Medicago truncatula: one gene and its partner. The protein of the gene in region 1 interacts with the protein of each later gene in a pairwise test. Links are inferred from orthologs where the notes say so. Each region holds a gene or a part of one and is shown in the gene's direction. Other genes may lie near its edges.

Region 1 (17,341 bases):
TGAGATTTCACAAAACAATAATATCAAGCATATAATTCAATAATTATATTTAACAACATAAATAACTTCATCTATTAGTAATAATAATTCTTCATAATAATTCTTAATAGTTCAACCAACTTCTAATTATCATTTACTTCATATTCATCACATTATAAACATCATCATATAACCCATAATAACCAAATCATAACAACATAGATCATCATCTTATAACGACATGAACAACACATATTAATCATCTTAATTATATAATAACAACATATACATCATCTCATCATAATATAATAATATAACAACAACAACATATTCATCATCTTATAATAATATAACAACAACAACATATTCATCATCTTATCAAAATGTAATCAACACATACTAACACCATAATCAACATCATAAATCTTCAACATAAACATCTTAAACATAATCATCTTAAACAATATCATCTTAAACATCATAGCATCTTTGATAAACAATTACCAAGTAATCACAACATTCGATCATCATCAATAACATAACATAATATTCACTTAATAATATTAATCATATATAAAACAATATATTCATCACTTAATAATAACACTTATATACATCACAACATATAGCATCATAATAATATCATATAATCAACATCGTAAACAACATCATAACATTATAATCAGTATCATATACAACATCATAACAACATAACAATATAACAATATCATAATCAATATCTTAAACAACATAGCAACATCTTAGTCAACATCATATAATTCACATCATAAACATCGTATAATCTTCATAGGTACTTCTTTAACAACACATGGGTAGAAGACAACTCGACAACTCATAGATGATAATTCATCGACAACTTAACAACTCATGGATGATAATTCATCAACAACGACTTTGACTCGACAAATGCGACAATGCAACTTAGACACTTATATGCATGTGGTACCAATCGTCATCATAAGTATTAATATACTTTAATCGTGCGGAGGACAAAGCTCCTAAACGTGCGGAGGACAAAGCTCCTAATCGTGGTGAGGACAAAGCTCAATGAATGCTAATGCATGGACTCTATCAACAGGACACCTTAATCAACTTATCACTTATACATCCAATAATTTGGAGTTCATCATCAACTTATTCATACTAATAATCGTGCGGAGGACAAAGCTCCTAATATAATTCAATAATATTTCGAGTAATGCATTTAATCATTTAATCACATTACAAACAACTTAGCAGTTCATAACAGCAACAGAAACAACACAAGCAATTCACAACATAACAATATTAATATGAAGTATCAACAACTTAAACATCATACATCTTCCACATAAGTCATATAAATATTTCCCATAACCAACAACAGCAACATAGGCGACACGTAAACATCTCAAGATATAACAATATCAAATGATAATCAACAACAACTCATGCAACTTAGTTTAACAACAATTGCAGCATAATCAATTCATATCAAGCTTAATAACAATTCATTTCAACATCTTGATCATTCAATAATATTTCAAGTAATGCATTTAATCATTAATTCACAATATATAATATTCTCTCATTAATCATATCATCAAAGTAAATCATATTCATCACAACTACAAAATAGTATCAATCAATAATGATAATCATCATATAAAACAATTACAAATGCACGTCATCAACATCTCAATCATAAAACATAATTCATGCAATATATATCTAATTATATAACATTATAAATATCATCAAATCATCTTAATCATTATCTAAGGTCTAAGGACAGTTTCTACATCTTTTTAACAAGTTTCTACCGTTTATTCATTAATTCTTCAATTTTAACCTACTTTTCAATTCCTCAAAAACTCATCCTACATCATGTTAAACCTAACCATTGATTCACATACTTAATAGAATTGCAAAGTTAGTCTCACCCTTACCTTTGGATTGATCGACGAAGGACTCTACCGCTTTCTCTTATCTAAAAGGATATTAAACCGAAGAGGGATTATAGTCTTAAGAACACTTTTAGTTCCGAAGGGACAGAAAGGAGTAGAAAAAGAAGAAAGACTCGTCAACACAAGTCAAAAGAGGGAGAAGAGAAGAAAAGCACAGGAAGTATCAACTGTGAATTTCGGTGTGTAGAATGCACTGTGTGAGTTCTCTATTTATAGAGATAATTTACAACTAATAAGTGAGAAACTTTGGAAACAAGTAATGCACCTATTAGATCTAGTAATTAAATATATCAATTGAGTACCAAAATATATTATATTAAGTACAAAAATATATTAGATTGCCTACCAAAATCTCAATATTCTATTCTAATATATATATATAATATTTATACAACAAATAACAATTATATCTCTATAACAAATATATTTCTATAACATATATATATATATTTCTACACCAAATAAGAAATATATTTCTACACCAGATAACATATATTTCTACACAAAATAACATATATCTCTACACAAATTAACATATATTTCTACAACAAATAACATTTATTTCTATAACAAATCACATTTATTTCTGCAACAAATCATATGTATTTTTATAACAAATAACATTTATATTTCTAAACCAAATAACACACATATATATATATATATATATATATATATATATATATATTTCTAAATGAAATAACATATATATATTTCTAAATCAAATAACATATATATTTCTAAATCAAATAACATTTATATTTCCTAACCAAATAACATATATATATTTCTAATAAATACCAACATATATCATAACAAAATATCACTCATCAAAATAAATCATATAAATCATACAAATCATATAAGTGTATTTTAAACTCATTAAAAATATTCAAATAATTAGAGAGGGTGTTACAGTTAATCCCTTATTTGTCTTCATTTCATGTTAAAGATGATTAGATTATTTTCTTTGGGGTTGATATTATTCATGTTTTTTTTATCTGAAAAGTAAAAATTCTACTCCATCTTTAATAAAAGATTTATGAGTAGCTTCTTAATGATTTGAAGTGCTCTTTTGTTCGACTTGATCAATTGAACATCAACGGTTTTTTTCTCCAAGCAGTTGTGATGGCCACAAATCTGCTGGTGTGGGATACCTGACATATTGCTTATTGGTAACAGGTGTAGTAGATTTTGGTGTGATTTCAGTTATATATGGAGCTAGGAATGTGGCTTGAAGATCCGGAAGAAAGGGGATGACCAAAACAACATGTCCTTGCTTATTTATTCAAATATTGATTATAGATGTTTCATAGAAGCCTATGCATGTAGAGAAGGTCCTGGAAGACCTTTAATGACTCATTAGATTTTACTTTAGCTTATCATTATAATTAGAATTCCTACTGTGTATAAGCTTGGCCTTTTTTTTTTGACTTCTAACAATAATGGAGCATGATGGAATATTTGTTGTAGGAATAAGACAGAAAATAAGCCCCATTAACAACACCGATGAAAAGATTAATTAAGCAAAGGATAACAAAATATATTGTTTTTTAATTACGTTGAGGATACTAAGTGTCACCTTTTTTGCTACTACAGCTTCTTTTGATTCACTATTGTCATATGATTAGTAGAAAACACTAGCAATGGAAAGTTAGTCAATTGATACACAACTAATTAATTGTTAGTTTTTACTGTTATTGTAATTTGTTTGTTTTCATTAATGTTGCATTTCGTCGGAATTGCAAGAGTTTGCGTGGCTTTAATTAGATTCTTATCTTATGCATTCTGTCATTTAATTTCTTTCTATATTAGCGTTATTCTCTTCATACTATGAGATCATTAATTTTCAAAACTCAGGTTATACAAAGTAAAATAGAACTGTAACCAAATGCTTATGCTTATTAGATATAAATATGAAGAAATTGAATTGAAGTATAGTCTGTCTCGAGGAACATATTATAAGATGACATTGCCAATGTTTCACGAACTTGCTATGAAAAGGACATATTTTAGATAACAAAGTCGAAGATAACAATCTTCAACTTAACTTTAATCTGCAATTTCGCAGCAAAAAAAAACTTTAATCCGTCATTTTTCAGCTCTGCGATCAATAGGAACATTGTAAGACTGAGTCATAATAACTCTTTTCATTATATTTAAGATTGAACCTTAAATTATTTGCTTACATCAAACCTGTTAAATATTCTAGCAAACTCAATACTTGAAACTAACAAGACAAGAGGATCATGCTTGATCTTTTAGCCCCATAAGAGATGTAGCTTACAAAAAAAAACATAGTTCAGGTGGTAGTATAAGTTAATAAAAAGAAAAGGATTGGGTTAATTCTGTCACTATTGTAAGTAAGTAGATGCTTTATTATTCTTCTTCTACTCTTTTGTTTATTACTAAGATTTAAGTGGATGATATGTTTATAGCAAATGCACAAGTATGAATGCTTTGCTGCACAATGAATATGATAAATAATATTAACATATTTGATTCTAGAAAAACAATTACTTATAAAGAGAATTAGTTACTGTTTTTGCAATTCTTTCTTTTGGATTATGGTTAATTGTTGTCTATTTTTTTAGTAAGTTGTTGTCTATTTTTATTGAAGAAAATGACGAGTCATGTATAATTTGGTGGAAATAGTTGATATGCCTTTTGAAGTTCTTTCGACTGCTCCAGCATTCTAAATGGTGCTTCTACTCTCTTTCTTCCCACAAAGTTTTACCACACAATTGTTAAGGAGTTGACAACCTCTGATTTTTTTTTTTTTGAAAGAAACCTCTGATGTTGTTTTTGGCAATTTGGTAAGATATATATATTTAATTGGTTTTGTGGAAGATGTCTTGCGGAAGCTGTTTTGGTTTGGTTTTTTGTCAGACTGCATTGCCTGGTGACGAAGCAGAATTAACTGTTGTGGATTACTTGGGTTGTAGTTAAAAATGTGATTTCAAATTCATTCGCGTAAAGGTTATGTCGTGCACTCTTTTTGGTCAGTGGCTACAACTTTGCAATTCACGTAGGTTCGTTGAAGGTGCAACAATTAGTCTTGGTGTTACAGATGCCGGTAACAATAAGATCATATATCCTATGGCTCCTCTAATGTTGGTCCTCCGTACAAAACTGTGTTCACCAACCTGTACTAGTGCAACTGAACCTATTTATCAAGTTGAACAATACTTTTGGACGGAATGAGGATGTTATTTTGCTATTTTTGTATTTTATGATACTGCTTCATCTGGACATGTAATCCAGTTCAGATTGTAGTTTGAGATGTTGTTATTAGTACTTTAAATTTTTATTCTAATTTAATGTTAATATAACCCATGATGAGTATTACATAATGAATGAATGAATCAATTGTTGTGTGGGGTACAAATAAAAGTCTAGACCAAATTGGTACATTAACAATGATAGAAGTTGAATCAACTGCAGTACGATTTTCGAACTAAAAAAATGTCGTCATGATATCACTAATCTAATCAATTTATATCATTTGATAAATTTTGTGTAAAAAAAAACAAAATTCATTTGATAAATTTGACCACAATTTTTTATTACTGTATAACTCATTGATCACTATTTTAGTCAGTAGGATCCGTGCGGCGCACAGGTCATCGATCTAGTTATTTCTAATCCTACTTAGCATTGCAACCCTAGATGGGAAACCCTAACACTACTTATTTGGGCACCAAAACTTATTAGGTTTATTGCACTTAATATTAGCTTATTGCACTTAGCTCTCATCTAATTTGCACACTTCACGGCACGATTTTGAATTTCAAATCATCATATTAATGACAATTTCAACATTTAATTACTTCACACGACTCAAAGAATGCAACATTAATTGTCTAACTCTATAATTGTCTTCGCACACGGCTCAAGGAATGCCTAAATAAATTTTGCAATGATCAAGATGGTTTCATGTCTACTTGTCTGCCACACTATTATAGTGATAGTTTTTTTTTTTTTTCCTTTTCTATAAAAAAACGATTTTGTTGATTATTTTTTTTTTAAGAAAAAAGAAATTAATCATATAAAGAAGAAAAAAGAAATTACTCAAGTAGGTTGTTTTTTTATTTCGTCCCAAAAAATAAAAGTGGGTTGTTTATTTGGCAAGTGTGATATTTATCATTCAATAAGACATGTTAGATAATATACATTTTCTATTAATTATTAGTAGTAAGAATAAATTATTATTATTATTTGTGTAATTTTCTTATTTAAATATTCGTCAATTTTTCTCATCTATTAATAAAATATTTTTATTGTTTAGTTATACAGATTTTAAATAATTTCAGACTTTTGGAGAATACGTAGTACTAAAGAGAAAAAGATATAATGTTGATTTTCAGACTTTTTTCATTCCCAATAGTAAAAGTATACACATTGAGGTAGATGAATAAGTTAAGAGTTACCAATGGTCAAATTTTAAGTTTCAATGCAAGTAGATTAATGGTTATCGTTGGATGCATGTTGATTAAACAGTGACTGTATGAAAGGATGTCTTGTGCTCTTGGCTTCCTTTTCCGTGAGCCTCCTTTCATTTTTGTTTCTCAATGCACCATGAGACTATTTTTCTACTATTTCCATTTGCAATTTCTTCTTCTTTTGTTGTTGTTAACTTTAACTTTTTCTGCTCGTCGTAACATGCTTCAGATCATGATACATAGGTGTTGAGTCGGATGATGGATAGTTGAACCATCAAGGTGCAGCGGCGAGTGAGTGGCAAATGGGCGAGTGGATGATGTGTTGATCCTTACCATTGCTTTCAATTATTCTATATAAGATTCTCACCAAAGACAAAATCAAAGGTTATTTTCAATTTTACGAAACTGTACTACTCCCTCCGTTTTTTTTATAAGCAAAATTGATCATTTCACACTTTTTAAGGAATGTGGTCATTGTTATTTAATTTAAGCTAAAATGTCTAATTTGCCGTCATGGCAATTCTTGTTTCCCAACCGTATTCATGTTCTTTCATTAAATAAAGTGCCTAATTTTACATTTTTCATGTTCTTTCATTAAAGAATGACGTTGTTCAATACACCAGAGAATTCAATTGTACTCTTCCACTTCCCAAACATATGTTCATCTTTGGCGCAAATTTTTTCAAGACCTGCTTCCATTTTATTAAAATTTTGGCGGTACAAAATTTGGCAAACTATTTCATCTAAAATTTCTAGTCACTTTGATTTCTATAAATTGAAGGTAAAAAATGCTGAAAATTGGAGCTTCACATTGCTAATTCAAGATGACTCTTGATATTGATTTGAACATCCCTTTGAATGACTTAACACATCTAACCATCTCTTAAATGGGCCTCTCAATATTGATTTGAACATCTCTTTGGATGAGTTAAACACTTCTAACCACCTCTCAAATGTGTCTCTTAATATTGATTTGAACATTCCTTTGAATGATTTGAGCACCTCTAATCACCTCTCAAATGTACCTTTAGAGATTGGTTTGAACACCCCTTGCAGTGGTTTGGACACTTCTAATTTAAATGCTACTTATTCAAGCACTGGTTTATTTGACTATCTAACAGATGAAGAATATATTGGAATTGAGTATGAAGAAGATGTCGCTTAACTTTTTCACAATAACATTGAGGAAGATATGGGTATATGACGTTTTATTTTATTTTATGAATATGTGTTGTATTTAAGTGTGTTTTGCATTTGTCTTTATTATATTGTGCCACCTTTTGCACTCATTATACTCCACATTTTATATGAACTGCATGCATAAGGAGTACACGTTTTGATGCAATATGGTTACATCTAGTAATTCATTTTATGTAATTTTATTTACTTTACCTTGTTATTCTTTTTTTTTTCAATCAATATGTTTATATTTGTTTTATCTATGACATGCTACTACTCCCTGTCAAAGTGTCAATGGCTTTTAATTTTTTGTATCAATCACATGCTACTACTACTGTCAAAGTGCCAATCGCAAATTTTTATTTTTATTTTATATTTAATGAAACAGGAAACAACATTCATAGTGAGCCACAATCTAAAAGAAAGCATACTTTTTTTAACAACTATCAACGGCAAACCATTTCGGAGGTTTTGGTCAATTTAAGTTGTGGTAGAAAAATTAATAAGGGAGTTGTTAAACGGTTTCTTCTTCTTATCAAGTATCAGTGGATGTTATTTATTCGATTTGGAGGCAAACGAATGAAACATGTAATGTTTGTCACAAGAACTCCACAGTTAAGCGTGTTTGACTTGGAGCAATTTTGGGATGGGTGATCTACTGGGAAGTTTTCCGGTAAGCGTGCGAGTGAGGACAAAACACGCTGAAAAGACTCGTGTTGGTTTGTGGGGTCAGTCGGCAATCCTGAAAGCAGTCTGGGATGTTACAAATCTTGTTTTCGGTAGCTCATTCCAAAAGAACTCCACAGTTAAGCATGCTTGACTTGGAGCAATTTTGGGATAGGTGACCTACCGGAAAGTTTTCCGGTAAGCGTGCGAGTGAGGACAAAACACGCTGAAAAAACTCGTGTTGGTTTGTGGGGTCAGTCGGCAATCCTAAAAGCAGTCTGGGTACACTCTCCTACACAAAGCTGGTTAATAGCCATGAGCACACCTCGCCAAATTAAGTTGTCATTTGTTGGAATAAGATTACATAGAAGCCTCCACACAAAGAGACAAACTTTGAGATGGATCTCTTTATACCAAATGAGATGATAATTGATCCATTTGTTTACTGAATCACGTGACGTGTAATTATTGGTCCAGGTGACACACAATTAATTTTGTTTATTTTTTTTACAAAAATTTAACAAAAATACCAATTACAATTTTTTTACAAGTTCCAGACCGATATCAAACAAAAAAAATGCATAATTAATGCCAAAATATTTTTTTTGACAAATAGTTAATGCCAAAATAAAAGTGCATACTATTACATATTTAAGCCTAATCTAAACATTTGCCGCAAAAATTATGATGGATCTCTTCTCTTCACCTCATACAAGGAAGTACTACAAAAAAGAAAGTAGAAAACATAATAGTTTTAGTCCCCTTAATCGGTGGGACCCACTTTGTCCATTTTCATTGCACAACACAATCTCAATGAGTGTTTGTATAGTTGCTTCATCTAAAAGGGTTCTCAAAAAAAGTGCCACAAATAGACAAATCCAAATGCTAGTCACATGGGAAGAAAGGATATGGTTCTAGAGAGAGAAACTGTGAAAAAGGGTTTTCTAGAGAGAGAAAAAAGTTTGTTTGTTTTCTGCTTTGGAATTCGTTGTAGCATTGTTGGGTGATTTCGAAAAGCTATCTTTTGAGGTGGGGTTGTTGCAAAATTTGCAATTTGTTTCTTCTATGTTCAGATTTTGGGAAATTTTGAGAAACCCTAATTTTGGTGGGTGAAGTGTTTTGTGGATTTAGATTTCTTGAGAATCTGAGTTGAGTTGGGTAGGATTGGATCTGTGAAAATAGTGAGGTTTTCGCTTTGAATTTTGTTGATTTTTTCGTTAATTTCTAGAGCTGCTGGTTTTTCTTCATTGCATGTGGATTTGGAGAAACTGGTGTGTGTTTGTGTTCTATCATGTTTTTAAGTTGTATTTGTTTAATTTGAAGTTTTGGTGTGTTTGTGTAATCAATGTTCTTCAATTTTTAGCTTGTGAAGTTTGATGGTAACTTTTTTTGAATTATGATTTCTGTTTGTTGCATCTGAGTTATGATTTTCAAGCTAAATTTTGCATGTTTATATGATTTTTGTTGTTTATTGCTAAATGAATGCATGAAGATTTATCAATGTTGGCTTGTTAATTGTGCAGAAAATGTTATTTAGTAGCTGTTGTTGATAGGAACCAAACAGATTGAAATATAAAGTGAATTAAAGGAGATTATTCCTACAACTAGATGTTGTTTGTTACTGTTAAATATAGTTAGAGTTTGTTAAATGTAGTTACAAGTTAGTTAGGTTAGTATTAATTACAAATTAGTTAAAGTTTGTTAGTTTAGTTATCCATGATTCTCTACAGTTATAGGTAAACCAACAAATACAGAAACGAAAACTTAAAGAAATAAATGGAGAACGGAGCAATGCTCCTTACATGATAAAAAACATGAATGAAAATTGGGAATGGAAGATAATATCAATTCTTAGAGAGAGCCAGCCTCTCTTAAGAAGAGTATGCAAAGTAGCACTTATCCTAGATTTGTAGACTGCATTGGGATAAATGCGAACCTTTCTATATTGAAAAGCACCATTTCATGTAAAATAATATATCTCTTATCCCCTCTCTCTAAACTAATTTTGGAAAGAACGTGTTAATTGTGGGAAGTGTATGATGATATTGCTTTGCATGGACTTTTAGTTCAATGAATGCATTAATGGCGATAGTTCTATAAGTCTGAATTTATCTTATTCTGAAACCAACAATTTCCTTATTTAGGTGTTTAAATGCATAAATTGTGAAATTAAGAAATTATATTCTTATGTAGATTCTCAGGTTTACGACGTGATTTTATTTGTGTTTACTTGGGTTTGCAGAAATGAAGTTCGTCAACTAGGGCATTTTGGCTGAAGAAACATGTTACTTCATGAATTTGTTTACAGTATGCAGGAGCTAGCCATTTATAATGGTGGGGTGGCAACAGGTAGACCAGTAATAGAAGCTGTGAAGTGAAACTGCACTAGTCAGCAACAAAATGGAACATTTATGTGATGATAACTTTGAAGGATCTAATGAAGAAAGACAGATTTTTACAGAGGTCTTTTTTGGTGATGACACTTTTCAGTCTAATCAGAGGCGTGTTATTTCTGGAGCCATCAACCTTGAACATGAATCCACGAAAAACACATTTAAGTCATTTGGCTCTAGTAATGAAAACTCGGTCATATGGCGTCCCTCATCTTCAAGATTTATCCATCCCGAGGAGGACATTAATGCAATTCAGCATTCCAATGAGACTGCTCTGGGATGTTTGCCAGAGAGTTTAACTTGTGAAGATCAGAATGATGAGAATGTAAATGTCAAACGTATGAAATTTTCTCTGCACGAACTTCCTTGTAGTAGATCTAATTCAGATGTTTTGGGTTCATCTGGAATTCCAAAAGTAGTAATTTCCAACCTGACTTGTGCTGCTACAGACTGTGATAGTGACTCGATTGCATTTCGTACAGTTGAATCTTCTAAACACGGTGTGATATCTAGTTGCTATCTATTGAAGCATAACTTGGTACAGAAAATTCATGCTTCTAATGACGATGCAGATGTTACAAATTGTAAATCTAAAACAGAAGATGGGAACATCCCAAAGGAGGTGTCTGTAAGTAAGTCAGTTGCTTCTCCTGTATCCCAGGAGAGCTCGGCAAGCAGGCTAGTAGTAACGAGTCCATCAATCACTGTTGTGAAGAAGTCCGAGTCTCCCTTAAGAACTGAGGAAATGCCTGAAGGGTTTCAATCTTCTAATATGGTTATCTCAAATTCATTGTCCCAGCTGGACCAAGAGGATCCCCGTCCCTTACTGCAGTTTCATATCGTGCAGTTGCTTACGATGTCAGGATGGTCTATTGGGAAGCATCAACGGCCTTCTAGACGGTGGATGGAGTCATTCTACAAGACACCAAAGGGAAAAATTATGCGGGAATTTACAAAAGTTTGGAGATTATGTGGCCAACTTTTGTCTGTTGAAAAGTGCAATGTAACATATGGAGGCCGTAAAGAATGGACCAATATTAGCGATTTTTGGTCCGATCTATCGAGTGCACTGAAAAATGTTGAAAAATTAAAAAACCAGCCAGAGACCGCTGCTATGTTGGCTTATCAATGGTGGATTATGGATCCTTTTGTAGTAGTTATACATTTTGATAGAAAGGTCGGTGCTCTGAAAAGGGGAGAAGAGGTTATAAAAGCAAGCTGTAGTTTAGTTTCTAGTAAGGGTAAAATGGCATATTCTTCAAAAAAAAAGGGTAAAATGGCATATGCTCCAGTTGATTCAGCCTTGGAGAATACGTCTCACACTCTTTCTGAACAAAAGCACGACCAAGCCATTTTCTGCGACTCTTCAACAGCCACCAGAACCACAGAAATATCTGCTTTTATGATAAACAGTCATGCTTGTAAACAGACATCCGACGGTAACCAAGAAGATATGTATGTCGAAGAACATAAACCAAACATCATAGAAAACCGATTAATGGAAATGTCAGTGAGCAAAAGTAGTATGGATCTAGCCTCTTTACCTGCTTGTGCATTGGGTAGCACTGTTACCCATTCAAGTGCTTCCTCTTTTGATGTTCTTACAAGCTCTGGAAATTTGGACTTGGAATCTAAAGTAAATGCTGTTCATCAAGCTAAACTTAGAAATTCTAAAAGCTCTGATAAGCACGCATCAGAAAATCGGTCCGAATGCAGTGAGGAAGAGGGGAGGAAAATCTCAATGGCTTCTGTTTTTGGGAAAGATAGTACATGGTCTTCCTCTAATGGTATTCTTAAAAAGAAAATGCGGAAGAAGTGCAAAAGGATATCTCAGATCAAACCGAGTATGTTACACCACAGTGACATACTGGGATCAACTGTTACTGATCAGGTGCAGTCACTGAATGGTGATGTATGTGGCACTCAGACTGTGTTGGAAGAAGTTCAAGATTATGTAGTTGACAGTGTGGGAAAAAAAAAGAACAAGAAGAAGTTATCAGGCAGTGCAAACCAGCGACATATTAAGAAAACAAACTACTCTACTACTAAAACAAATAAGTCCAATAGATGCCATATTGAAGATGACGATCTATTAGTGTCAGCAATACTCAAGAATAAGGACTTCAACCCAAAGATAATGCGAGGTAAATCTAGAGCTAAATCCGGCAAATCAAGGGGTTTGAGAAAGCTTAAAAGCCATAAAGGCCGTTGCAGGTTGCTTCCAAGGAATCCTTGTAATGGAGGGAAGCACAATATGGATGGGAAGAAGTATTATCTTGGGGAAAGGACTCTCTTGTCCTGGTTGATTGAGAATGAGGTCATATGTTTAAATGACATCATTCAATACCGAAACTCTAAAGATAATTCTGTCACTAAGGATGGCAAGATCACCAAAGACGGTATTGTTTGTAAGTGTTGCGGTAAGGTGCTTACATTATCAGAGTTCAAGATTCATGCTGGGTTTACACTGAGTCGCCCTTGCTTGAATCTTTTCATGAAGTCTGGTGAGCCCTTTACACTTTGCCTCCTTCAAGCTTGGTCAGCTGAATACAAAGCCAGGAAAAGTCAAAATCAAGCTGGGAACATTGTTGATAATGACAGAAATGATGATTCGTGCGGGTTGTGTGGTGAGGGAGGTGAGCTGATATGCTGTGATAACTGTCCATCTACTTTTCACCTGGCTTGTTTGTCCGCTCAGGTCAGTTGCACTCGGTTTATCATTTTCTTCTGTTCTAATATTTTTCTTCTGTTCATGCCTTGTCATTGCTGATAAATTGTTTTATTTATTTATTTTGGGAATTCAAACCTGCTATTGAGTGGTTGGTTTAACATTCTCTTGTACCATTCTCACATATACACACACCTTTACAATAGCAAAACACTTGTAGTTCTGTCCCTTCCTGCGCGAAACCCTGGAGATAGTTAATTTTTCTGCTTTCTAATTGGGAATGTTTATTTTGACTTTGCTGATTGCTAGCAAATATTGTTGCAATTAAAATTTTCCATCATAGGCCATATCGCTTGAAGAACATGATTGAATCATTATCAAGGGTAAAGTTTCTCTGTATGATATACTATATTTTGCTTGCTTTTTACGAGCCAATACAAACGAACTGTCAAACATTATGCTATGTTGGCTGTGATTTGATGAGTAGGTTCCATGAGTATATTCTCTCTCTTGATATAGACCTGTGGGCATGAATGAATTGCTATGTATTACCAACACATGCACATCTCTATCTACGTCGCTCTAATACGCCTACTTCTTTTTATTCCATGCATTCAAATATCAATTAAGTCTATTTTGTATTTTTTGTATTCTTATGGATGTGACTATTGTTGGGTTTCTCTTACCCTGCCTCAGAAGAATGACACATTTTTTGTTTCTGTACATCAGGAGATCCCCGATGGCAACTGGTACTGCATAAACTGCACTTGTCGGATTTGTGGAAATTTGGTCATTGATAAAGAGGTTTCAGATGCACATGATTCATCGCAATGTTCACAATGCGAACATAAATGTAAGTTTGACCTTCATGTTCACGTTGCATAATAGATTGCATGGTTTGAACTTTAAATATCTTCATAGAGCTTGTAGATTGATATCAAGTTGAGTTATACCATATAAATTTGTCTTTTGTGTTTGATCTTATTTAGAATTATAATAATGCTAATGGCTGAACAATTTGTTGGTTCAGTTATTTTTTTTTTTTTTGGAATAAACAAAACGGTTCAAATATTGTTGGTGCTGTTGTTGTTGTTGTTTCTGCATAAAGGTTGCATATGTTTGACTCCTCAAAATCTACAGTTATTGGTGCTTCATGTGCTTAGCTTGACTCATTACAATTTATTATAATAAATGATCAGTTAATTTGATTATGGATAATAATTTTTTACTTACTTGAAAGTTCATGCACTGTTTTGACTTTCTGATGCTTCAATAATGATACCATTTGATTATGACGGATTTGTAATGAATAGATCACAAGAAATGCCTCGGAGAAAGAGATAAACAAGAAGGAGCTGTTTCAGACACTTGGTTTTGTAGTCAAAGTTGTCGGGAGGTACTATACTACAATTTCTCAAATTTCCATACTTCCATTTGTATTGAGTTTCTTGAATATGGAATATGGAAAATTATGTCTTATTGCCTGTGACATATTGTATGACTGTGCAATGGCTTGTTATGACTTAGTAATTTAACTATATATAAATTGCAGATCGTATTCAATACTTTTTGAAGGTTATGTTTGGTTTATGTTTTGAAAGTACTTGTAGGTTTCTGGCATGTCAAATGTTGATATTTTGATCAAAGTTCTTTTAATGTAGCAAGTATAGCTCCAAAAGGTTGCTTTTTAGATAAACAAGTTTAAAATAAAAAATTTAGAATGTTGTCTTTGATATGAATAACTTGAGTATGATTTTCTAGTTATATCATTCTTATTTTTTATTTTTTTTAACTAAAGTGTGCGGTAACAATAGGTAACTAAAATAGCCATATATCGTGAGTAGAACGACTTTGGCAAGTTTTAATTGCCGTATTTTATTCTAACTATTACATGCTTTGTTTTAAAGAGAAGTCAAAACCTTTTTACTGACACGTAAAAGGATAAATTTTGATTCTTCTCATTATTTTTAAAGATTGTAATTATTTCTACACGTGTCATAAATTGATTGTCCCCAAAGCTTAGGCAGTGGGTATCAACGACCCTCACACGAGAGCTCTTTTGGCTTGAAGTGTGGACAAATGCACTGGCCCATTCTACTTTTCTACTGTGTGCTGAAAGTCACTTTTTTTATTAGAATGAGGGCATGGCAAGGATCAAATTTTTTAATTACTCTGCCGTAGAGCCTCTAATATCATGTTGTTTGAGCTGTTATGTGAAAGATCATAAATGGTTTTATATAAGGATGGAAGAGTCTATTACTTGTCACATTAGCTTCTATCTCTATCTTTTGGCATAGTTGCTTTTGTTACATACCACTGGTGTTTATGCTTGTCTTATAAAATATTTGTCTATGCATTCACACCTTTAAGAGGTATTCGCTTGGTGGAATAAGGAGCAGATAATTAGATTTACCTGTGAATAAGCATGGATACTTAATGTAGCACTTCGGTTAATAGGTAATCAGTATCAAAGCTAGTCACTGGCTGCTTGAAAAAGGTTAACTAGGGAAGGGCTGACCGGAAAGGCCGAGTTAAGAGTCGTAGAGTGCAGCCACTGAGATGCAGGCTCTCAGAGGCAGTGCTACGATAGGAACTTGGTTATTATGGTGTGCCCAAATCCCACATCAAGTTGTATGAGATAATCGTTAAGAGTATTTAAGTGGCTTGGTTGCTCCCTCTCGATAGCTAGCTTTCAAGGGAGGATTCCCCAAGTCCTTGGATACTCATCAGTATGATGGGTAGCATTATTCCCTTTGTTCCAATTTTTTCCTTCTGTTTTATTAGAATAATATTATTAAACAACGTTGGTTTTTTATTTCACCGTAAGGCTTGTCAGGAGTTTCAAGTTTACAGTTAGGGAAAGAGAAAATCAGGGACAACAGATGGCTTATATTATAATATTGATATGATTTGAAGTAAACCTAACCTAGAATGCGGTTAATAACTAGATCAGGTGCTAGTACTACAGCTATTAGCCGTAGCGTACTAACTTCGAGACAAACTAATAACATAGTAAAATGTTATTTTATTATCCGAACATCATCTCATTGGTGTTATTTAATCAAGGACTTGACTTTTTGGTATGTGCAGGTATACTGTACTCTTCAATCTCAGGTTGGGCTAGTTAATCAAGTTGCTGATGGCTTCGACTGGACGCTTCTTAGATGCATACATGATGACCAGAAGGTTCATTCTGCTCAGTGGTTTGCCCTAAAGGCAGTATGCAATACAAAATTAGCTGTTGCCCTTACAATCATGGAGGAGTGTTTCGTGTCAATGTTAGATCTAAGAACAGGCATCCACATGATACCCCAAGTTTTATTCAATTGGGGGTTAGTGGTTCTTCCCATGACAATTTTTCCACCTCTTCTTTGTACTTCATCATTTAAATGTCCAAATAATACCCCGTCTCTTATGCTCTATTTCAAAGCCTCAACTTTAGGATTTTGTCTTGTCTTGATTTGTAAGGCTTTAACTTCCATGTGGTTTTCAGGTCTGATTTTGCTCGTCTGAATTTTCAAGGGTTTTACACAGTGGTGTTGGAAAAACAGGATGTGTTAATATCTGTAGCATCCATCAGGTGAAAACAAAACACACACACATGTGCTATTGATGATATAATTCAATGTACTTAAGTTCTTCTGACATTTATGAAAATGGTTCTATTTCAGCTACTTTTTTTATTATGTAAAGACAATTATCTAAATGCTTTTCAGTTATGCTCAAGCTTACCCTTCCAGTAGATTTATGAATGAATTGAGTTATAGTCACATTTTGTTCTATTTGAAATAGCATCTCTGTTTTATTGGGTTGTTCTCAAGCCTTTTACTTATTTGCAGAGTGCACGGGACTACCGTTGCAGAGATGCCTCTAATTGCAACTTGCAGTCGGTATCGTCGCCAAGGAATGTGCCGACGCCTCGTGAGCTCAATCGAAGAGGTAAATCTGGCTGTAATTTCATGTTTATCCAAAATTATTCAAACAGAACAGATATAAAATATTGTTTCAGTTTCACCCCAGTTGGATCAACACTCCCTTTGTTCATAA
Region 2 (16,803 bases), on another chromosome or scaffold:
GACTTAAGTCACGCTGGGTTATATACTTGCGTCAGTTAACTCACGCGGGGGTATTTTGCGTCAGTTAAAATAATGATATGTCATGTTTCCTAATGCATGATATCAACTTACCCTTCATGCACGATTAGGGCATCACCAACTGTCAACCGATCTGGGATCGGTGCCGGAGCCCTAGAACGGTCGATAATTATTGGGATGGAGGTGGTGATGGTGAGAATTGAGGCGGCTTCCATCTGCAAAACCATCATTTCGGTCACGGAGGCTTCTGAAGGCATGATGACAAAGAAGTGGTGGGAGATAGGTGGGAGTGTGTGTTGACAAAAAAGTGGTGGGAGATAGGTGGGAGTGTGTGTTGATAAACAAGTTTTGAGTTGTATTTAAGGTAGAGATCAGAGAGAGAGAGAGAGAATAACTTCAATTATGCATGCACTAGCTTTAAGATTCCAAGTGATTTCGATAATATATGGCCCTAGCTTTAAGATTAGGAAAAGAAAGGCACCTTACTATATTCACATGTTTCAAAAACATTAGTCTCTTTGTTGCACACTGATCGTTTAGACTTTTAAATGGCAAAATGTCAATTCATGAACAAGCTAGCTCTTAGTCTTTAAAGCATTTTCAAAAATAACCCGAGAAACCTGTCGTTGAATATTTTTCCACGACTCCATGTCATCGATCATTGTCGTTCAATCAGATCTAGCTAACAGTATTCATCTCAACAAGACAACGATACACTCACTATCTTAGTTGTAAGTATGAAAAAAATCTTGAGTTTTTATTTCTAAATAATATAGTCGATCGTCGTTGAAATTTCTGATTGATTTTAATTACTAGTCAACGGTGGATCACCTATGTTATCAACATATATGTTTTTCTCACCATATGTCCGAAGTAGCATGTCGATCCAAAAAAACGTACATTTCCTTACTTGGCTGAAAAAGTATCCAAAAACTAAGATATTTTACTAACAAAACGATCAATATAATTTTTGACGCGAGAGAAGTGCTAGCAAGACCAAAAGCGTATTTTATTGCCAATCCTCTTCAACATTCACAGAAGGATGAGAGGACACCCTATGCTAGTTTTCTTTCATTTTGAACTAACCGGTTTCAACGAGGCTGATAAATACATCCATCAAAGAAAAGCTCTATATGTTAAGGTGTTTGTACATAACTTCAACGAGTGGATAACTTCAAATGCTTTTGAAGCTTCATTTTGCAAGTATTTAGTTCCAGCAGTTGTGACTTCATCATCTCAACATCTTTTCTCATTACTTTTATCTCCTGATTCATCTGTCTCTTTTCAAAATCTTTGCTTATCCTGATGCTTGTCTTACTCCTATGGTAATTTGATCCTTTACTTGCCATTGTCCATGACATGTTCACTTGTTCTAAAAGGACAAATCCTGTTGATAATTTCATGGGCAACCTATCATTTTTCATCACATGCTGACGCGCTTCTTGTGACAATCTATGGTATTCCAATACATTACACACATTTTCTCCATCTTCTTCTGTCAAATATGGATGTGCCTGCAAAATTGAGTTAAGTTTTAAGTTTTCAGATTTCAACAACCATATAATCATAGAGACAAATGCAAGACAATATGGACCATTCAATTAAATAGTTAACTAAACATCCGCAGTCCACACAAATAGAACTTGAAGTACTCATATAGCAATGATATAATCAAAGTTTTATTAATGCATGTTTAGAAGACCATGAGTTTTGCAGAATCATGGTGTGCCACCACGGTGTCATTGAGATATTGCCAAACTAATTGTTGATCCAAACATGCACTTAAAAAAAGGTTTGCGACTTTTACTTGGGTCACAACATTATAGATTTTTATGTTGCCAAACTGCTGCACAACCACGATTGAGGTGGATCAGCCGCATTTGACTGTGATTGTACGCAATATCAAAGATCAAAACTCGAATATGACTGTGATTTAAAACTTCGGGAATAAATTATATAATATTAGTATATTACCTTAAGGTACATGTCAATAGCTCTATAGAGATTGTCATCACTATCTCTAGCATTTTGTGGCAATACTTCAACAAGCAATTTGAAACTTTCCACTGTGAGCTTCTGATCCCTTGCAACTTGTGATAGATAACCATCCACCAACCTTCCAACAATGTGAACTTTTGCAGCAGAATTACTTGAAATGCCAAGAACATAAGATTGTAACACTTTAACAACAACATCAACATCATACAAAGAATCTTTATCTCCTTGATTCTTAACCAAAAGATCTTGAACACAACACTGCTCCAAAATCAAAACCACTCTTGTCTCTAGCTCACACAACAACTCATGATTGATTTTCAACATCATACCTGCCTTCAACAGGTGAAGCAAAAAATTGCAAGAGACAGAATTTTCTTCAGTTGGAAGCATTTTAATCAAACACTCGGTTGAAACTTTATGTAACTGAATTGGCATGTGTTTCTGTGTCACATTTGGATCAATTCCAAGTGTGACTTTAGAGAACCATTTTTTAGTCCAATTTTCTATACATGAACCTACAAACTCTGATTTCATTCCACGTTTTTTGACAGATTGAATCGCTTCAATAAAATGATCTATACGTAGAAGTGATACATCTTCAAACCACCAACAAGCATCAACTTTGATTTCAAGTTTTGGAATTACACATGCTTTCCAAGCTATTGCTTCTGAGCAACGTTTCACTAATTGTAACTCCTTGGCCCAATGGGAAATTGATTCACAACTTTTGAGTATACGAAATGTGTCTTTCCATGAAGATAACATTAGAAATGTGAGAAAGGATTCTGTTTTGGAAATTAGATTTTCTTGTTCAATATCTTCACTCATTTCTAAGAAATTTGCAGCACAATATAATGAAGCTATGTTGGATGATGTCATGTCGAATTTCCAACCGTAACAGAATTTGACAACTAACTCAAATGTTTTTCTACCACCTGGAAGATTGTCTATTTGGATAGTATGATTATTGTCTTCTATGTTGTTACTTCTCCTTTTGAAGACAAGCCTATTCAAATATTCACTTCTTGAGACCATGGCAAGCTGGAAAATCAATGAATTAATCATTAATTTATAGTTAAAAATATGAACAATATTACATGTTATGATATGTTTGAAATTAGGAACATGAGGTACTTATTGGTGTGAATGAGTAATGTAAAAACAGAGAAAAGAGTAAATAAGTAGATTTAACATGTTATATAACTAAAAGCAATGGCCAATGGTGATATATAACTAAATTAAGATCAGATACATAGCACACATTTTGATACACATGTTATGATAAAAAAAATGATATATATCTTATAATAAAAGGTCCACCTTATGCAAGTGAAAGCTGGAATCACCAACTTGTATGATTAAATCATTAGTAGAACTTGCCCTGGCAATCCTGCATCAAGAAAATGAGACATCTAAGTATTTATCTTCCGCAAAAACGTATATATATTATTCAATTATGACATGTTTGGGAGGTTAAAAATGTTTACCAGTTTTGATTTTTCCGTTTTAAGGAATCAGCAACTATAGGAACATTAGCTGGTAGAACAACGCATCGGTTACGCTTTCCTCCACTCAAGACATTTTCACAGTCAAGAATTTTCATGGTTACTTTATCAACACCAGGAAACTCAAACTTGTTCATATAATAATATTTCTTAGAAAAGGTTTTAGTGGTGAATATTATTTAGATAGAAATTGAATTGAATACTATATATAGACAGAAAAAGTGGTCCATCTTTTAGATAGTATGATGAATATTAATGTAGTTGTGGCCTACTGAGTAACTTTGTACATAGCGTTTGTGGCATGGAAGAGGGTTTGTTGCCTATTTCCATTATGCGTCATGTCAGTGTAGTTATTGGAATTAATATGGAGAATTTGAGAGTAGACAGATGGATGCAAGAATACCCTAGCAGATAGTCAATATTACATTCTTTCTCATCCACATAGTGGTAGTACCACGCATTTCCAACCAGATCGCCTTCATCAATTAAGGTGTTTCCAAAGTTGTACCAAAGTAATAACTCATCCCACCTTGCTAATCAAAACTGATTCTAGCCATATGATTTTGTGGTCAGGAAACTTTCTGTTGCAATAAATTTTTTACTAAAAAAGATTCCATTATTTGCTTAAATGCATAATCTGTGTTTGGATGGTGAAAGAAATTGGAAAAGACACAAAGTGCCAACTATTTTGCCTTGTTATTTCTTAAGAGTAATCCTGGTTAGTGTTTTAGTTCAAGCATGAGTGATTAACTATGAATGACTTAAATGTTAGATTTAGAAGAGAAACAACTCATATTCATGCCTTAAAATTTTGGTTTGAGATATGTTCTAATCTCTTGTTGGTCTTGACATACTTGTTTCATTAGTGTCATATTATTTTGTTAGGATATTTGATATCCAAATGTCACAATCAATCAACAGAGATTGAGATCAAATGGTTGAGATTTCTCAGTTTAAATTAGCAAAATCAAAATATGCTGCATTTACTTCATCATTAATTTAAGATCAAACGGTTGAGATTACATAGTGAATTTTACACAATTAAATAATTTATACATTGATCCATATCGGACGGCCAAGAACCATGTATGTCATTGTCAACCAACAACAAGTAGAATCCAAATTCAAAAAAGTATATGGGATTAAATAATGAATGTGTAAAAGCAAACACCTTTCTTGATTTCTTCTTGCTCTAGCTAACGGTCACAAAGCACAACACAAGCAAACAATGGCGAAACTGAAACCCTGCATTTCCACAACCCAATCCCTTCATTCAATTCCAAATCACACTCTTCCAATTCCAATCTCCAAATTCAACATCAATTTTCATCTCCTCAAACCCAAATCCGTCGCCATTTCGCAATCCCATCAAACTCTAACAAACCTACAAATCGTCTGCGCTAGAAGACCACAATGGCCCCTATCGTCGAATCGAAAATTGCTTCAACTAGTTTCCACACTCGCATTCAATCTCAAGATCTTGCCAGAACCCTTTAATTCCCTCGTCCGCGAAATCGCACAAACCAATTCGAATGAACATCGGATTGTGAACCGTCTCATCAGTGGCTGGAGTAGGAAAACAAACAAATCGAGCAAGAGGAGGAATGAGCAGATGTTTTTGTTGCCATTGTTTGTGTTGATATGTGTTGCGGGTTTCTGGGCGTTTAGGGTTTCAGAATTGGACCTGTTTCTGAAGTCATTGTTCTTTTGTTTTGTTGGGGTTTCTTCAATTTCATTGTTAAGAAATAAAGTCATAAAGGATTGGTTTTTAGGGTTTTTCTTGGGGGCTGTTTTGATGATGAGTTTCAGATTGGGAAAAGAGGATGTGAAATTTTGGGTTGAGAAGTTTAGGACTTGTTCTCCTGTTGCACAAATTGCATTGAAGAATAGAAATAGAAAATGGAAAGTATCAAAATGAGAGCCATGGTTATTTTGTTTTTTTTACTACACCACTATTGTTTGATTCAATTCAATCACTCTTGAAAGATTGTTCTGTGTAATTGTTGATTCTTGTATACTCCATTGTGTATTACTGAATGATGGTGATTTAAAATTGATGCAACATTGTTCTCAATGTGTTAGCAAAGTGTAAAACTACAATGTTGCTAATGCTAGGCCTGTTTAGTGGTCACTATTAAGAATAAATCCTCCTTGAGCAACATTAGTGACCTGCTTGTAGATTTCATAGTAGCATTTTTTTCTGATCAATAGATTCAGAGTAATATCATCCTTATTAATTATTGCATCAGATACATTACTGACAAGTTTGCTTAATTAATGAGACGAAGTTTGATACTGTATGCTTGTGTATAAAGGAAAAAGCTCAAGTGGTTAATGAGTTTTACGAAGGACGTATCATTCGGTTTGATTTGATTAGGGGGCTCATTTCCGCTAGAAACCGGAGGGTTGATACACAACAAAACTTGGCATAAAGTTAAATTAAGGCTTAGATGTTAGTATCATGTTAACCTGTAGAAGAGAACAATGGTTGAGAAGAGAAAAACACGAGTTTGAACCTTTTTGAGAGAAGAAAATTGATGAGTTATGGGTGATTTCATCATCAAATGCAGATGAGAATAAATTGGGGTGATTTCCTACAAGAGGAATAAAATCGTTAGACCAACAATATACTACATTGTCAAATAGCTAAAGGTGTGATTCGGAGCAAATTGAGAAAGATGTTGGTGTGAGAAAATCTCCCCATGTTCCGGTATCCCACAAAATTGCTTTTACATTGTTATTTAGATTTAACTTTTGCTATTATTATCTCTGCATACCTGATTTTTTTAACGACAAATGTTGGTATGTAATAACTTAAAGACCTGGGAACATTTTTTTTTTTTGGGTTTCTCATATGTTTCATTCATTTGAGGCGTGTTTGATACTAAATATGGGTACCTCTCTCAACTGAGATTTGAACTTTGGCTTGCTATGTTGTCGGAGGTCTAGTCCATTCTGAAGGACCCAAACTCATTGCTAGTTATATATTGCATAAGTGTTCTGGACTGGACAAAGACCCAATCTGATTACTAATTAGGCCGAAATAGACGACCTCCGCTCAAGAGACCGCTCAAGCCTACACCAGCATTCCATGGCCAAATCAGGACCCTTTGATCTCCGTCATACGGTGATACATGGTTTGCATTGCTTTTGTTGCAACCGCCTAACCATTTTAGGTCTTTGAGCTCGGTCCACGCCGTCTTTTGTTGCTACCTCACTCATTTGAACCTTTTAAATTTCTCAAACCCTTACTCGATTGAGCATTAGAGTCCTTACAGATACATCACCCCCTCTGGTGAATCAAAGTCGTCTTTCACTGCATCTCAGCCGCTCCCTTTGTCGTCAACGAGTCTTCTCAAGATCAATAATAAAGAATATTTCATGATAAATAAGTTTATGCATGTTTTTTTAACAAACCATCAATTTAAGCCCTAAACTACCGCTCTCTCTTCAATGTAGTCTCTAAACTATAAAAATATACTAAATAGACCCTATATTATAAAATGTCAATGTAGTCCTTACATTCATATATATTTTCAGTTTAGAGATTAAATTGATTAGAGATATTTTTGGGTGTAAACCGGGTATCCTCCGCGTGCAACTGCAGAGACTAATCCCTCGAGCATTGTGGAACCCAAATGGGCGGCAGACACTCCCTAAGAGTTTTAACGCTACTGTATGCCCAAGGCTGAATTCGAATCAGGATCTTGGTTAGAGATTGATAGTTCGTAGACGAAATTGACAAAAATACTTGATTTAATTATCCCCTTTGGCAATTAAGAAATACCATTAACTAAGATGATGTATCACAAGTCTTACTCTTTTTCTATTTCAAAAGAAAAAAAGTCTTACTCTCTTTCTATGTAAATGTAACGCACGCTTTGTATCATAGCCCAATAGCTCCGAAGCCCAAGGTAAGCCTCATAGCATCACCAACATACCATTAACACTACCAGACGGTGCTCTATTTCACCTTCACAAATCCCCTGTTCGGAGCCAAACAGCTTCTCTAATTTCTCATTCTTAATTCTCACTGCATGCATGCGATTCATAATTCTTCAAACCTCACATCACATGTAAGTATCTCTCTCTCTACACTCTTCCGTTCCTATTTTTTCGCCACTCTTCAACAATGTCACTGTTACTTAATTTCTTCAACTCTAAACAAACACCATATACCTTCAATTTAATTCAATATTTCCATTTACATTACTATTTCATTCATTTTCATTATTTTTCTTGCAGAATCATGGTTTTAGTGTGACATGTCTAAGTCTCAAAATAGAATGGAACAACCTAACCAATATCAAACAACCTTAGCACTATTAGAACCCAAACCCAAAAACCTAAATTCCAATAACCTTAATGATGATCAATGTTTTCTCCTTTACTTCATTATGGGAACGTACTTTGGTCCTGATATCAATGGTGACAAAAAATCAGTGTTACAGATAGTAGCTGAAGGATTACCTTCATACACACGTGAGCAATTAACAAATTCTTATATGAAAGTATCTGAATTGGAACGAATTTACTATTATATACTTAGGAATGTTGATAAATCATTAACGGTAAAGTTAACCTTTTTGCGCCGGTTCATTCAAGGGCTGGAAGGTTCCTCCAATTGCAATTACCCTCAGTTTACTGATTTGTTCCCACTTGAATTACACCCTCAGTCTATGTTCAAAGGTAATAGGTTTAAGATCATTGAAAATATTGTGTTTATTGATAACCCGGAAGTGTTTTTCTTCAGTCAAGAGGATATTGAAAGGTTCAAGAGATTGAGTGGATTGGAGGATTTTGTTGTGGACAAAGATGTTGCTAGATTATATAATTGTATGGATGGTAGTGGTTTGCGTAATAAGTCAGTTGTGAAGGTTGAGCATAAAAAAATTATCCCATTGCCTTTGCCTGAGCTTCAATCTTCTAGTAGGAAAACTAGTTCTCGAAAAGTGACTGAAAGTGATGATTTTTCTGATCTTAAGTACCAACTGCCACATGCCCATGCTGTGACCCCTATTAGCTGTGTGCCGTTTAATGGTGGTATGGGTCTTGATGGTGAAGGTGATTCTGTTAAAGTTGGTGCTCCGGCTGCGTTATTCCTTCCTTCTCGTCCTACTAAGAAGGAATGGTCTAACATTGTGGCTGCTACCAACAGTGGTTTTGCATTGACAGGAAGTGCGGCTATGGGGCAGATTGGTCCCATTATGGGACTTGTGGACATTGGAGAGTGTGAAGACTCTTACCTATTTCGTATGTCTCTCCCTGGTGTGAAGAGGGATGATAGTAAGTTTCTTTTTAAATCTTATTAAGTCACTTGATTGCTATTTATTTAGTTCTATGTTCTAATCTTCTATGCTATAAGTGCCTCTATTTTAGGAATGTCTAGTTCATGTTTGGGTTCTACATTACACTGCTTTGAGAATTATGTTAATGAAATAAAATTATCTAAAGCTGAAAAGGTTTGTATATTCTATGTATACGATGATGTGGCCATATGACTTCAAATGACAACTATGTTGATTTGATATTTCTCCTTATGGCATGCCCTTACACTACAAAATTGGAAAAGGAGAAAAAGAATTAAAACTAACAAAGAAACAAGGAAAGAAGGCAATTGCATCTGTTGTTTGATGTTTTGGCAATGTACAATGGTTCTGAGTACTATAACCAGATCTTGATCATCGTTAAACATTATGTTGTTATGATGGGTTGGCAAGTCTTTCAATCACTTCTGCAGCAGCATAGTGTGTTAAAGAGATCTTAATATGTTAAATCAATGAACTTTGAATTTATGATTGCAGAGGAATTCAGCTGCGAGGTTGACACAGATGGCAAAGTATTTATTCAGGGAATAACCACAACAGGAGAGAAGACTGTATCAATGCGCACTCAGGTATTTGAAATGCAAACTCAAAACCTCTGCCCAGCAGGCCAATTCTCAATCACATTTCAGCTACCAGGCCCTGTAGATCCTCATCAATTCTCAGGTAATTTTGGTACTGATGGGATTCTTGAAGGAATAGTTGTGAAAAGAAAACCTAGGTGATGGCGAGGCTATATGCTATTAGAATCCCTCTATTAATTCCACTTGGTACTAAGTTGATGCAAATGTCAAAAAAAAATGTGGTTTTGATTAGCAGTATTATGTACAGTGTCTATCTTAATGTTAGTTATTTTTTGAGATTCAGTGTTATACATGCTCAGAACTCTCTCTGACATTCTCTTTATGTAGAAGAAAAGAAGTGGTCACGACATGGCTAATTAATCCATTTTGTGGACATGTAAGAATGCTTCACTGATGAATATAGTATATTATTTTGAGAGGAGTAATTTTAAGTCAATGTACAACTTGTCTCTATTTACTTTGGTTATTTTCAGTTAGAATATCTTTTTCATTTTTTGTGGTGGCTTATGAGTGCCACATAAATGCACAATTCTATGATCCGCCATTATTATCTGGGAGAGATTTCATACTGAAGTGTTTATAAGTTTGTTTAAGATGTAATATGCCAAAATAATTTCACATTTTATTTTCATCTCTATCAAGCTTTGGGTCAAAGTTGTACCCAACCTTCCTTAAGGGTGGAGTTTCCTTGGAGTCCCTATCAATCATCTGCAGCTAGAGGTCAGCTGTTGGATTCATACAAATGCTGACAGTCTATTGTTTATGACCTCTGTCTAAAGAAGCCGTGTTTACTGCAATGGATCCTGTCAGATTTTCTGAGATTAAGTTTACTTTGACATTTTCCAGATTTTATTTTTTTTACTTAAACCCATCATCACTCAACTAGTAAGATTCTGTTCCTACCCTTATGGACTTCCCTCACATTCCCTATCCTTGGATGGACAGAGACTGATAGGTCGTTAACAAATTACTGTCTTATATTATAGTTTTTAGTTGCTCTCAAGGGTCTCACAGCCTTATTCTTTAATGATGTTGTATGCCCCCTCATGCCCATATTAGTTAAAGTTCATTTTGTGGTTATGTTTCCCTTCTTGCACCAATGGCCTTTTAAAAATAAATAATTATCCTATGCGCAAATGCGAAGACTAATTCTTCAAAGCAAGTGAGATTCATTTAAGGGTTGATATTTCCTAACATATGTTTTTCCATATATATTGGCCAAAGATCGAACCTCCAACAAAATGGTTAACCATATTGGCAAATGGTGAGAAAAATGACCATTTTTTCCTCAAAATAATTTGAATATCTACCAAAATAGGAATAAAATGCGAGTAAAATAAAAGGTACGCCAAAGGAATAGTTTCATAATCTGCTCACCTCAAATTTTATTTTTATTACTCGTTAGTGAAATCGTGTATGAGTTGATTCCTTGGTAATATTTGAACATTTGTGATTTTCCGTTAATAATTTAAGTGTGGTGGTTGTGTTGAAATTAGGTACACCAATTTTCGATCATCTATGTGTATCCATGACCATGAGACTTAAGTGCCACGCTCAACTAAAAATGCTGGTTATTTTTTTCTTTACAAGAAAATGTAACCTACATTTGTTATTTTTTGAAGTAGGAAAGAAGGATATAATATTTTTTGAAGTAGTATAAAATGCCACAAGAATATTTTCATAATCAATCAAGAAGAGGATAGAAAGATAAAGAGGTCAACTATAAACATAAGCCCCAAGGAGAAGTGTGCATCTACTGGCCACCAATGTACCAGTCATTTTCAAGATTGCACCTTAATGTGGTCAACTGTTTGTGAGAAATCATGGCCCAAGTCGAGAACATCACCCTCTAACAACCCAAATTGTCAAATTAGAGCCAACTCCATCCATTTTTTCCCATTTTTTCCAATAAGTAACAAAAACCCAAAACAAATGGATATTCCCCTGCATATCAATCACCACCCCCAAACCATCTACAAACCTCATACCACACTAAGATCTTACACTTAATAATTAAGTGTAATTCACTTTCCTTAACTCAGAATTAGAGAACACATGGATATCGATATTATCATCAACTACCCTCCTTTAGAATAAATTTCTCCTAGTTTCCTTCCGACAACAAATCATTAACGGCAAATATATCTCTTCTCTGCAAAAGATAGAGCGACTGAAGATAGACTCTTCTCGCACAAATTCCCTCCACCGAGAGAGATTCCACTTCCACACACCCTAATCATGTTGGGACATTGCAAAAAAAAAAAAAACCTTGAAAATACCTTTTTGAGGGACAAGGTACCTTGCCATGCACCATCTAAAAAGAAAACTTATGTTAAGAAGTATAAGATCTTTCACCCATAATTCTCCCTCTATTTTAGGAGAAATTCTATCTTGAACACAAACTCAAATCAAATTTATTTGGACACACATTCACAAATGAAAAAATGTAAAAGAGAATAGATTTAAATGATGTGACTAAATACTTTCTCTTTAAATTTTTTACATTTGTGTGTGCGCCCAAATAAATTTGATTTGGGTTTGTGCCCATCTAAGAATTGCTCCTATTTTAGACCTACACACATGACCACTTAAGCAATTTTAGACCAACTCGAGGAACCACCCCAAAGCAAACATTCTTTGAAATTCAGCAACCATTTTCTACACCTTAATCAGCATTTTCAAATAAGATAGATAGAAAATAGGAATACTAGCAAGCGCCAAATTAATGAGGAGAATTCAATCACCAAGCATAACAAAGCCAAGTTGACATACTCATAGGATAGAATTTGCTTCTATTGGGAGGCCAAGATAAAATGAAATAGCCCCAACTCGATAGTGAAAGAACCACCGACATATTAAGGATTCATCAACATTCCTCGACATTATTTTCTTACTACCCTTGTAAAATAGAAAAACTAGATGGGAATAAATAAGTATAGCTCTCAATATTTGATATTTGACTGGTAAATTAAGCTTTTAGTTAACATCGGTAATTTGTTATTGTTTATTATTAAACGGAAAATGTTAGTATTGGTTGTATTTTGTTGAAGAGATCAAACCCTCAACTTCTAAATCACTTCACTCCTTTAACTCCCTCGCCTCAATCACCTAACCAATCTTATATCCCCCAATAATTCTATAATGTAATTGTTCATTAAAGAAGTGAACAAAATATGTTTTCATTGCATATAAGCTATTAGCTACACTCTATCATCACTAAGGATCATAACCAATCCCGACCGTTCAATATGACATCCTTAAGTCCGCAACTGATGATGGTTGTGAATCAGCAGTAGTCTGCATAGTGCATCTAAAAGCGTAGGCAATATCAGACAAACAATGAACTACGATAGATACCAGTACAAGAAAAGGCCTCAATCATTTCAGCTGGTCAAATAAAACACCCTTTGGATGAAACCCACCGGGGCTCATTTATAAAAGAGCAGAAAAGAAATGACAAAAGGGCATCTTGTGCATAATTATCGCACAGTAGCTTGATTAACTAGTAATAATCTGAAAAGAAAGTGATGAATTTGTGTATATATTAGAAAGTAATAAAGTGGAAAACTCAATGGATCTAGGATAAGCTTTTTTTTTTTTTTTTGGCGAAAAAGTATATACTAATTAGTCTATTTCACTGCATTGTCACAACCCATCTCAATGTGAAACAAAACAGTTCCATATTCAATCCACAAGAGGACACAAACGGGGAAAGGAAAGATATAAATACTCAATTATAATAACATAGACTTCCTCATGTTCAGTGTGTTCTCAACCATATTAGACACCTAATATAACAGCACATGCTTCCACACAACATAAAAAATTATTATATTACTTCTAATAATGCAAGATCAGATTGGAACCACTACTGCTATATCACAATACAGCATGCGATTGACACCTGTACTTAGAAACATCTTGTGCTAATAAGTGATGAATCATCATAAACCATACTTGGTTATTCATCTGTAAATTTCTAATACAGTAACATTAAGTTCCATTAGGAAAAATGACATTGAAATTTAAAAGCTGCAGAATTAAGTTTTACTATGATGTATGGAAATGGTCAGTAGTACAATATAAAACTTCAACTTTCAATCCTTGTAAAAACTAATTTATTGCACCAAAGTTCACCTTACTAACCATAACACTTCCATAATAAGAATCTAATGATCTGAAGGCGATTGTTGTTGCTCCGGTGGTTGGGGCCACATTTGAGGTGCCATGTACGGATGAGACTGTGGAGCATACATGTTTGGATTATGCATCATGAGACCAGGATTTCCAGCTTGCTGTGCATTTTGAGGTGGCATATAGCAATAAGGAATTCCATCAGCAGGCCCTCCAACAGGCATTGGTCCTCTTGGTATCGATGCAAGCACTTCATCTTTCAAGTCCTCCCGAGGCACAATGTCAACCAAGAAATCAAAGATATCAGTTCCTGTGATTGCTGCTGCAATGTCATTCTTTTGAAGGGTTCGCCTTTTGTTCTCTTCAGTGTGATTCCAAGAACGCAAGGTTAACTCCAATATGAACATTTCACACGCCCTTGCAAATACAACAGGCGCCTCAGCTGATATCATCTTCACATCCTCATCAGCCTTCATAATCTTCTTGATCCTTGCCAAGGGAAGGCTGTGGTTTTTGAAATCAGTTACCTTCTCGATTTCTTGATACTGATTTCCCCAAAAGGTCTGGAGTTGTTGTTGCTGCTGCTGCTGTTGCTGCTGATGAATGTGCTGATAAGCAAGCTGATGTTGTCCCAGCTGAGTTCCATCTGGTTGACCACCAGGTTGAATAGTCCCAACAGAGGGAACAACCATCCCAGGTGACCCAGTCATAGGGTTTGGCTGGTATGGATTAGAACCATATGGGGCCATTTGTCCACTACCAACAACACCCATATTTGGGTTTTGGCCATGACCTTGATGATCCATTCTGTTTCAAGTGAAATCAAATAAATCAATTCCTACACTTCACATGGGGCCAAAACAAAACAACAATATGCACATAGTAACAACAATTACACGTGAACAAAAGGGGAAATCACAAAAGCAGTTAGAACGCTATAGCATACCAGGACTTGAACAAAAACTTTATTGTTTCCAATACACTTTAGTACAAAGTTATGTCATAGTTTATTGCGTAGCGGAATTTGAACAAACATCTATTTTTGCAGTCCGCAATCGACACCAGTAGCGGAGCTGCGATTTGAACACTATAGCATACCAAACTCGAACAAATATTTATTGTTTCCATTTCCAATACAATTTAGTACAAAGTTATGTCAAATAGTGTTTATCGCGTAGCAGAATTTAAACAAACATCTATTTCTGCAATCCGCAAACGACACCAGTGGGGGAGCTAGTCATGGCCTACCCAAAATTAATTTTTCTCCTAAATAGCTATTGGCATTAAAATCTTTGCAACATATTGAACATTTCATTTGTACTTTTAGAGTAAACTTCAAAAATATGTGAGATTTCATTTGAACCTTGGTCTCGACAATTATAACAGTCAAGTTTGAACCAACAATTTACAGTATATATTATAACTATTTGGGCAACCCTAAACCCTAAAAAAGAAAAGAAAAAAATCCTAGCTTCGCCACTTCACAGCACCATTGAAAAACACAAAAAAGCTTGAATGGAATAAAAGAAATAAACCTCCAAAACTGTCTAGACTCTAGATTCCCAATCATGTATTTGAAAAAGAAATACAAGTGCTGGATGGAATGAAGAAAAAAGCATCTAGTTATCTCTATATACATCAAGCATAACAAGACCAAAAATAATTATGAAATTCATCAGAAAAATTTCAACTTTACCCAAATTCTCTACATATTCATAAATAAATCCGCTCACAAGTTTATATCTCCGCATAAGAACCATCAAGCAAATATATCACCTTTCATGGCCACAAACACTAATTTCTGGGGTTAATCGGCAGAGGAAAAAATTGAATTTTTAACCGTAACAAGAAAAACTAAACAATCGAATTAAGTATAGAGTATTCGAATTGCAAGAGTTGGTACCTTTTGTTGAGTGGGTGATGCTTGCGAGAGATGATTGCACGAGAGTGTTCAAGTTTGTCGAACGCCACAGAAGCACGTTTCGGAATGTTCTCGTACGGTGATGGATTGAAACAATTTCTTTTTTCCCAAATTTATATAGGGGAGAAAAGTTAGGGTTTCATTAAAGTTGGTAAAATGGTATTTTTATTGTTTTTAAGAAGGGTGAACAAGTAAAAGATCTGAATTCCAAGTGGGTGTGGGTAATGCGAGATAAAAATTATTATAGAGTATAAAAATTATTGTAATTGCGAGATAAAAAAGTATTCGATTCAATTTAGTTCGGTTAACTTGCAAAAGATTATCCAAATCATATCAATGCGGCTTGGATTAGCTTAATTGATGCGGTTTTTAAGACAATATCATTTTTTGTTTTTAACATTAAAATCAAGTTAACAAAGTTAAAACACAATATATTTTCAGCAATGTTTCCAACAATGTCTTATATTTCATCCAACATAGACCAAATTAACAACCTGGACAAAAAGCAATCATATTCTATAAGAAATATAAAAGACTAAAACTTTATCATTATCAAAAATTTTAAGTAGCACATAAATATATTTTTAAAATATGAGTACTCCCTCCGTTTCTAAATATAAGTAAAGTTGACTTTTTAGGTTCATTCATTTGTATTTGTGTCAAAGTAGGACTTGCTCTTCTCTTAAACTCAAGTGATAAATAAGCTTCACTTAAACATTAATCGTTTAAGAGAATAAGAATTCAATTCATATGTAAAATAATTCTTGATTGATTTTTATTTATCTTTATGTAGAATTATAAATTATGATATCTCTATTCTATGGAGCAAGAGGGTTAACTCAAAAAAGAATGCAGTTAAAATAAAATAAAATAAATGGTATTGAAAGGGTCCTAAACCCAAAAGAAGAAAATAACTACAACATAAATGTGTTGGGTTGTTGCTAGTTAACTCTATATCCATTCCTTTTAACAAAATTAAATTAAAAAACTGTTTTGTTTTTTATTAAATATATATTACAAAAATAGAAGATATATATTAAAAAGAAAATAAATAGAAATATGTGGGGTATATTGTAGGATCCTAAAAAGTAATATAAGAACATAAATATGGTTCTTGCATTGGAGTAAAAATAAGTGATAGTTCTTAAATCGTATGTGTCATCTATGAACCCACAAAAATTGATTGAAAAACAAATTTTTAGTTCTAGCATTATAGATGCTCTAATATTTTCATGCCTAAAACTTTTGACCAAATAGCAAAAAAAATCCATATGAAATTCGATTCGCGCTATACTCTGTTGTCTTGTTATATAAATCCA

The links.
Region 2: the proteins of increased DNA methylation 1 (region 1) and increased DNA methylation 2 interact in a two-hybrid assay, tested with the Arabidopsis thaliana proteins (3 studies listed by BioGRID, with this or other methods). The link is inferred for Medicago truncatula from reciprocal best matches to the Arabidopsis thaliana genes ROS4 and AT1G54840.

The regions. Positions count from the first base shown.
Region 1 is NC_053043.1:38,461,249-38,478,589, reverse strand, and holds the start of increased DNA methylation 1, read left to right. Parts: upstream 1-8,931; 5' UTR 8,932-9,262; exon of another isoform or gene 9,263-9,504; intron 9,505-10,475; 5' UTR 10,476-10,633; coding exon 10,634-13,324; intron 13,325-14,023; coding exon 14,024-14,147; intron 14,148-14,607; coding exon 14,608-14,690; intron 14,691-16,384; coding exon 16,385-16,626; intron 16,627-16,787; coding exon 16,788-16,874; intron 16,875-17,133; coding exon 17,134-17,233; intron 17,234-17,341. UniProt on the Arabidopsis thaliana protein: Histone H3 acetyltransferase that binds methylated DNA at chromatin sites lacking histone H3K4 di- or trimethylation and catalyzes H3K18 and H3K23 acetylation. Prevents the transcriptional silencing of transgenes and of some endogenous genes.
Region 2 is NC_053042.1:40,652,973-40,669,775, reverse strand, and holds increased DNA methylation 2, read left to right. Parts: upstream 1-7,400; 5' UTR 7,401-7,597; intron 7,598-7,766; 5' UTR 7,767-7,786; coding exon 7,787-8,807; intron 8,808-9,325; coding exon 9,326-9,570; 3' UTR 9,571-9,854; downstream 9,855-16,803. Other genes in the region: root phototropism protein 3, read right to left, coding at 1,176-1,532, 1,993-3,057, 3,337-3,406, 3,504-3,658; nuclear transcription factor Y subunit C-3, read right to left, coding at 13,599-14,369. UniProt on the Arabidopsis thaliana protein: Prevents DNA hypermethylation and transcriptional silencing of transgenes and of some endogenous genes. May act as a molecular chaperone of IDM1, regulating its H3K18 acetylation activity.